Linked DNA regions of Schizosaccharomyces pombe. The protein of the gene in region 1 purifies or fractionates together with the protein of each later gene. This does not show direct contact. Each region holds a gene or a part of one and is shown on either strand. Other genes may lie near its edges. The genes, in order: rpn3 and rpn7.

The links.
Region 2: the proteins of rpn3 (region 1) and rpn7 purify together in Schizosaccharomyces pombe (affinity purification with mass spectrometry, with the first as the bait; one study listed by BioGRID). This does not show direct contact.

Annotation. Positions count from the first base shown.
Region 1 is NC_003423.3:710,278-714,769, forward strand, and holds rpn3 (19S proteasome regulatory subunit Rpn3), read left to right. Parts: upstream 1-2,212; 5' UTR 2,213-2,234; coding exon 2,235-2,253; exon of another isoform or gene 2,254-2,299; coding exon 2,300-2,395; exon of another isoform or gene 2,396-2,439; coding exon 2,440-3,818; 3' UTR 3,819-3,875; downstream 3,876-4,492. Other genes in the region: UDP-glucose--glycoprotein glucosyltransferase Gpt1, read left to right, coding at 1-1,657. UniProt on the Schizosaccharomyces pombe protein: Acts as a regulatory subunit of the 26 proteasome which is involved in the ATP-dependent degradation of ubiquitinated proteins.
Region 2 is NC_003423.3:429,893-433,710, forward strand, and holds rpn7 (19S proteasome regulatory subunit Rpn7), read right to left. Parts: upstream 1,874-3,818; 5' UTR 1,853-1,873; coding exon 659-1,852; 3' UTR 501-658; downstream 1-500. Other genes in the region: mcp6 (horsetail movement protein Hrs1/Mcp6), read right to left, coding at 1-274; alt1 (putative alanine aminotransferase), read left to right, coding at 2,703-3,120, 3,312-3,818. UniProt on the Schizosaccharomyces pombe protein: Component of the 19S cap proteasome complex which acts as a regulatory subunit of the 26S proteasome, involved in the ATP-dependent degradation of ubiquitinated proteins.

The DNA.
Region 1 (4,492 bases):
AGTTTTAGATCCTCTTTCAAAAGATTCTCAAAAATGGTCAGCTATTCTTGAAGCAGTCTCAAAGTTGAACGGCGTAGGAGTTCGAATTCATTTCAATCCTAAACAAACTTTGTCTGAGCTTCCATTAACAAGGTTTTATCGATATTCAATTTCTGCGGAGCCAGAGTTTGATGCGCTTGGCCATTTAGAGGAGTCTTACGTAGAATTTGACAACTTACCGGCTGATACACTGCTTACAATGGACATTGAAGCTAGAGACGCATGGACAGTTATGCAAAAAGATGTGGACATTGATCTTTTCAACATAAAATTAGAGCACACTTCTGAAGCAGAGGCTTTGGACTCACATACAGCAATCTATGAACTTAAAAACATTTTGGTACAAGGTTACTCTCAAGAAGAATTCAGGAAAAGCCCACCGAGGGGTATGCAATTAAAGCTAGGCAACCTTACTAATTCCCATGTGACTGATACAATTGTATTATCAAATTTAGGATATTTTCAATTGAAGGCGAACCCAGGCGTATGGACTTTGGAACCTATGGATGGGCGGTCTTCTCAGTTTTATGAAATACTGTCGCTAAATAAGAAAAATTCCTATAAAGACCCTCAAGTAATTGTTGACAGTTTTGAAGGTGTCACCTTAAATCCGGTTATGCGACGTAAACCTGGTTTTGAGTCTGCCGACATTATGGATGAAGACCTTAGCTCCCATAAATTTTTCGATAAAATAAAAAAGTCTCTCAGCTTCTTTAATTTCAAACGTAAAGAAGCATCTATAAATATTTTTTCTGTTGCCAGCGGACACTTGTATGAAAGATTCTTATACATCATGACTAAGAGTGTAATTGAGCATACGGATAAAAAAGTCAAGTTCTGGTTTATTGAGAACTTTTTGTCCCCTTCTTTTAAAAGCTCTATTCCGGCCATTGCCAAAAAGTATAATTTCGAGTATGAGTATATTACTTACAATTGGCCACACTGGCTGAGAAAACAAGAAGAAAAGCAACGTGAGATATGGGGATACAAAATATTGTTCCTTGATGTTTTATTCCCTTTAGAATTGCATAAGGTTATCTATGTTGATGCCGATCAAATTGTGCGTGCTGACTTGCAGGAATTGATGGATATGGATTTACATGGTGCTCCATATGGGTATACACCCATGTGTGATTCTCGCGAAGAGATGGAAGGTTTTAGATTCTGGAAAAAAGGATACTGGAAAAAATTCTTACGTGGATTAAAATATCACATTAGTGCATTATATGTTGTAGACTTAGATCGTTTCAGGAAGATGGGTGCGGGTGATTTACTTCGCAGACAATACCAACTTTTGTCTGCCGATCCTAACTCCCTGTCTAATTTAGATCAAGATTTGCCAAATCACCTTCAACACCTTATTCCTATATACTCTCTTCCGCAAGATTGGCTTTGGTGTGAGACATGGTGCAGTGATGAAAGTTTGAAAACTGCCAAAACAATCGATTTATGTCAAAATCCTTTAACTAAAGAAAAGAAGCTGGATCGCGCACGTAGGCAAGTCTCTGAATGGACTTCATACGATAATGAGATAGCATCCGTATTGCAAACCGCCTCTAGTCAATCAGATAAAGAGTTTGAAGAAAAGGATAACAACTCATCTCCGGACGAACTTTGAAACATACTTTTCTTTTGCTTTCATATTATTTAATTCGTGATTGTACGCCTGAAATTTTATAATCGTTTTTCTAATTTACTTGCGAATTTGCATAAGTTAGAAGAGAAAAGAGTTAAAATCAAAATGTTTTAATGAATTGCTTGAATACTGAGAGTATTGGCTTTAGGGATTAAAAGGGGTCAAAATTAGTATATGTCGTCCGTTTGAAATGAGCTAGTCATGAGTTAATTTTTTCCTCCAATCTTGTTAGGACCATTTTGCTGGTGCATTCTACAAGTTGTATACAACGATTATGGTGCTAAGAAACAACTAATCGTGAGCAATGCTACGTTTATTGAATGTTTGTTGAAGACGCGTATTTTCATTTATTTAACTATTCGATACTATCTTCTACTTTGTTCAAACATTATTCGTCTATTATGCTGTAATAAATATTGCATTCAAAAGTCTTTACTAAATAGAACATTTAATATATTCGTGTTTATAATCATAGGGAGGAAGTATACAGCACAGTGAGTCGTAAGCTTAGGCATATGCCCTCCACTGAACGTAACCACTACCAAGTACCAGTATCAATATGATTGATGATCAGAGAGGTTTGTTATTGATGGGAAAGTTTTTGTATTTATTAACGTTAAAAAGATATGCAGGTTGATTCTGTAAACCAAGAAGAAAATGTTGATTCTGGTGAAACAAAACAGAACACTGTAACTGAAGTTCCAAGAACAGTTTTGCAAGGTGAGTTAATGCGTCAAAATTTATTTATTTCTAACAAGGATCAGATGTGGAAGCAAATATTGCTGCCTTAATGCAAGCCACCAAACAAAGAGATCCCAGACTTGTCTATCGATCATTAAGAACCACATCCAACATTTGCCATAGACTGAATGCGGATGTTTTAGGCCAGTTAATTAAGAAGTATTATTCTTTTGATAATTCTTTAAAAAATGAATTATTGGAACTTATTGATATGCCACAAAATGGTGATGATTCTTCCACTTCTATTACAAATGGAAATGGCAACACAATTTTTCCGGAAGTGGATATGTACTTACAACTGCTTCTTAGCATGACACTTTATTATAATGAAAAATATGAGGTAGGCGCTGAATATATTAAGAAGGTAATCGCCCGTTTGCAATCCTATGATCGACGAACCTTGGATCAAATTGCAGCCAAGTTATATTTCTATTACATACTATTCTTTGAAAAATGTAATAGGTCTGTAGAATGCAGGAACACTCTTTTGTCCGTTCATCGTACTGCATCTTTACGTCACGACTCTGAAACTCAAGCTATGGTTTTGACATTACTTCTTCGGAATTATATTCAGTTTAACCTATATGATCAAGCAGACCGTCTCGTTTCGAAAACATCCTTTCTTACGAATGCTAGTAATAACTTGGCAATTCGCTACCAATACTATTTGGGTCGAATTCGCGCCATTCAACTTGACTACACGACCGCTCATGAACATTTAGTTAGTGCTATACGTAAGGCTCCCAACACAGTATATGCCGTTCAATTTCTGGAAGCTGTTTACAAATTGCACATCGTCGTACAATTGCTTATGGGAGAAATTCCCGAACGCCGCATTTTCCGCCAAAAATCTCTCGAAAAAACTTTAGTGCCTTACTTACGTATTAGCCAGGCAGTTCGTATTGGTGACCTTTGTGCTTTCACTGACGCGCTTTCCAAGTATGAGGCTGAATTTCGCTTCGATGGATTGTATACTTTGATATGCCGCCTTCGCCATACCGTCATTAAGACTGGATTGAGGATGATCTCCTTATCTTATTCCCGTATTTCCCTTCGTGATGTTTGTATAAAGCTTGGTTTGGACAGTGAAGAGAGTGCCGAGTACATTGTTGCTAAGGGCATCCGTGATGGAGTTATTGATGCAAGTATCGATCATAGTAATGCCTTTATGGCTAGTAACGAAGCCATGGATATTTATTCCACCGAGCAGCCTCAACAAGCTTTTCATGAACGTATTCAGTTTTGTCTTGCCCTTCATAATGACAGCATAAAAAGTATGCGATATCCCATGGATGCTCACAAAAGTGAACTCGAAGGTGTGGAAGAGGCACGTAGGCGTATGGATAAAGAAATGGCTGAGGCAGATTTAGATGACGATGAGCCTGATTTGGGCGAATTTTAAAAAACTTATGGAAAGTTTATAGATCTTAAAATATACTTTCAAAGTTGTTCAGTTGTATGTTTCTTTAATGTCTATGAAAACTATATGTAGTTTACAGATTGAAATATTTAGTGAGTTTGCGAAGCTGTAACAGAAGGAAAGTTGTTGAAAAACAGTTTTCGATCGGTGCTACAACGCTACAAATGCGTTTGTTGTTTAAACTGAGACTTGGTCTTTGCACATTGTAATAAATGAGTAATACGCTAAAAACACAGGGGTTTGGAGAATGGTCGTGTGCTTTATTTTCAAATTTGTTGTTTTATATTTCGTATATAATACACGTATGCAAACACATTTATGGTTATGCTGTGAAGCAATACAGATTTGATCTTGGATTATGGTTCCAATCAAAGGTATACTTTAGTCTTTTTAATTATAAATGGCGAAATGGGCAAAAAATTTTTGTGCAAATTTATTTTTTGTTATGCATAACTAGAGCAAATAAAGCAATGCTATAAAATGGCTTCCGGCAGAAAATAATAACCACAGTGGATATAAGCTAGTTTTCTAACGTGACTTAAGTAACACTTTATAAAACCAAAGCTATACATTAGTCTCTCCCATTACCACTTTGTCAATTTTAGCTAAGTTAGTAGATATGATCAACACTATATATTTAAAGTGGAACGGCAAGC
Region 2 (3,818 bases), 280 kb from region 1:
CCCGTTCCTGCTCTCCTATCTTACTTTCCAAACTTTCGATTTGTAGCGTACGTTGAGTAGAATCGCGCTCAAAAGCATCAATTATTTCTTTAGCAGTCATTTGTAGCTTCTGAAATTGAATTGTTTTATCTGAGACATTCTTTTCATAATCATCAAAATACTGAAAACTCTTCTGCTTAATAGACTTCATCTCGCTAACACTTTGAACAGGCGATGAAGCTATGAAAGTCGAATCTTCAGCCGAGGCGAGAGAAGCCTCTTCTTGATATTCCATATTAAATCAATCTGTTAATCTCTTAACCTTGTATTGTTTCAAATCTTTTCGCTACGAATTAGTGTCACTAACATACGAAATGTTGTTGGTAAATGGAACGCGTCGCAGGCTCATCAAACAACATTGTATTTACGAGTGAAGAAACATTTGAGATATACGTAAACACCACCAAAAATTGCACAACTATCTATTTAGTCCCTAATAATAGTTGAATAAAGATTCGTATGCTTTAATCATTTCTACATTTCGTTTACAAATAATGTTCATGGCACCAAAACTTAATACCGTTTCATATTATTACTTTTCAAATGTTTAAACCAGACAATATAGATAAACGATACATGCATTGAACCATATTTCATTAAACGTAGGCACTGAGTTAAATTATACCTTAAAGGCACCACGCATAACAGTGGCTTGGTATTTTTGGAGTTTGTTAAGTAAAACATCACCCTGCTTAACAACCTCTTGGTATTGACGGTTTTTTTCATCAGGACGGTTTGTAAATACAACACCGTTGACTCGATCAATTACACAGTTCAACTTGTTGTCTGGGATAAATGACGCCAAATCGCGATCGATATAATCAACAGATACGCCAAAGGAAGCGGCCATGGAATCGATACTGAGAGCACGGTAAGATTCAAGTAACTGGGCGTAAGCACGTCTTCTCATTTCACGCACATAGTATCTATAATGGGCGACAAGAAATTGATCACATTTAAGATGATTAACTTCAACATCGGCCAAGGTTCGAAAAAATCCGGAATAGTCACATAAGTACAAGCTGTTGATACATGCTTCCAAACTAGACATTGATTCATTTTGAGGTAGCACGGCAAGCACTTCAGGTGAATCAACGATTTTGGTCTTGACATCAACACGATCTAAAGAAATTGCACCAGAAATCACGGCATATCGAACGACGTCGTAATATGGAAGTAGTTCGGTGGAAGAGAAAGTTGACATACAATCCAAGAGAAGGTCGGCGGCACCAGAAAAATTACGGATTGACATCAAATATATGCCTTGGTAGGCCTTTAATCGATTTTTCCTCTCCCAATCACCTCCCTTTTCAATAAGTGGCTTTAATTTTTCCAATAATTGACCAACGACCCTCATATCAGCATACACGTATGCCAAACGGATTTTGGAAAAAAGAACATCAATCTTCATTCCGGTCAATGTTGCTCGTTCAAAAGTTTCATCGCATAACTGTACACCACGTTCTCTATCGCATATATTCGTATAATAATCAGCTTTGTTTTTCATGGCTTCTAAAATTTCATGTTCTCCATTAAGTTCTTGGGCATCTTCGATCGCTTTGTCAAACTCTGCTAACTTTTCTTCATTTTTCTTTATCATACTATTTAAAAAATTACTATCAAAATCAATACTTGCCGATGTTTTAGGGTTCTCTGAAAGATATTTATAAAGTGGAGCTAAATCATGATCACGAATGGCAGAAAAAAGCGTATCCAAAGCCTTTTGGCTCTTATTCTCAAGGAATGGCGAGGAAAGCTCGAAAATCGCTTGCGAAATGGTCAAATCTGATACGGTTCTTGCCTTTTCTGTCATGGTGCGGTGTGTGAGTGTTGCAGAGGGAGAACACATATCAACAGCTAACTAAACTACATATTGTACATTTCACTCATCTAAAAGTTAGTAAAATGTTAATTTTTTGTAGTTTATTTAAATTTCAAATATAAATTTAATTCAAACAACTAAAGAGAAAAAGTTCTTTTTCTACTTTTCAACTTCCACTGTTCCTTATGTTCTAGTAACATGTTTTAATTAAATTTTATTAGAAACGAATCTTAAAACTCGTAAATTTTATTCTTTTCAATTCTTTTTTGTGAAATATGCCATTCTGAAAAGTCAAGTGCTTGAACATTCCATCAGTCTTCTCGAAACTTGTAAATCGTTAAATTAATTTAATTAACCAAATTCTATAAGACAAAAAAGTTAAGCAAATAAGCAAGCATCTCTTCTATACCTCTGTTTTTACATCGTTCTAATTTTTTGGTTTACACGACATGTAGCATAGGTTGGGGCTTACTAAAGGAATTCAAATAATTTTTCGCATTGAATATTGCTTACTTAATATATATAAAACAAACAAAAATGGTTTATTAGAATATCATATTTAAGCCTGTATAATCCGGTTAATGGAAAATAAAAATATAAAAATAACGGAAACGTTGTCATTCACTGAGTATTTTTTAGGAGCTATTTTTTCTCTGTTCATTATGCTAAGTTAGTGAAAAAATTAGTATATGTAATATAAGTGAATACAGTGAGCGGTTGATAAGTATCTCCAAATAAAATACAGTAGAAAGAGTGAAGTACATAATATCAAATAACGATTATCTACTTTATATTTATGTTTACAGATTATCCAAATGATATTAACTGTGAGTCTCCAAGAATGTCGGACCTTGATGGATTTTGTCAAAATGCGTTCTCAGACCTTAATTCTTTGAATCAACAAGTATTTAAGGCAAATTACGCCGTCCGTGGAGCTTTAGCCATTCTTGCGGACGAGATCCAAGATGATTTACTTGAAAATCCTTCTTCATATCCTTTCAGTGAGATCGTCTATGCAAACATCGGTAATCCTCAGCAGATGGGACAGTCTCCTATTACATTCGTTCGACAGGTTTTATCTCTTTGCCAGTACCCTACCTTGTTAGACCATGCTGAGGAAAAGTGGTTTCAAAATTTGTTCCCTACGGATGTCGTACAACGATCCAAAATGCTCTTAAAGGAATCTGGAAGTTTGGGTGCCTATAGTGCTTCTCAAGGTATTCCGCTTGTAAGGCGACATGTTGCGGATTTCATTAGAGGTAAGCATTTTAAGAAGAAAGAGTGAAGATCGTCGGACACAGAGACAATTCGCAGACTGTATTAAGAAATTTAGCAAAAATACTGCAACCCATTAAAGCTGCTAGGGTCTTGCTCGATAAAAAATGATTTTAGACTCCGCCATTCATTCTTTTTTCTTTTTATCTTTACACATTTTCTAATTATATTTTAGCGAGAGATGGATTTGATTGCGAGCCATCTGACATATATTTGACTAGTGGTGCCTCACACGCTGCCCGGCTTATAATGACTTTGATAATCGCTAGGCCAACAGATGGTGTAATGGTTCCCGCTCCTCAATATCCTTTGTACGGTGCCCAAATTGATCTCATGAGTGGATCTATGGTATCTTACAGCCTCTCCGAGGAAAATAATTGGGACATTGATTTTGACCAATTTAAAAAATCATTTGATGAAGCATCTAAAAAAGGTATCAACGTTCGTTTATGCGTGGTTATTAATCCCGGTAATCCTACTGGAGCTTGCATTTCTGAAAATAGCATGGAAAAAGTTTTGCGCTTTGCTAAGGCAAAGGGCATAGTATTGCTTGCCGACGAAGTCTATCAAAACAATATTTACCAAAACAAGTTTCATTCTTTTAGGAGAAAACTTGGTGAATTAAGAGAAAAGGAACCCGACAATCATTGGGACCAAGTTTCGCTTATTTCCGTAAATTCTG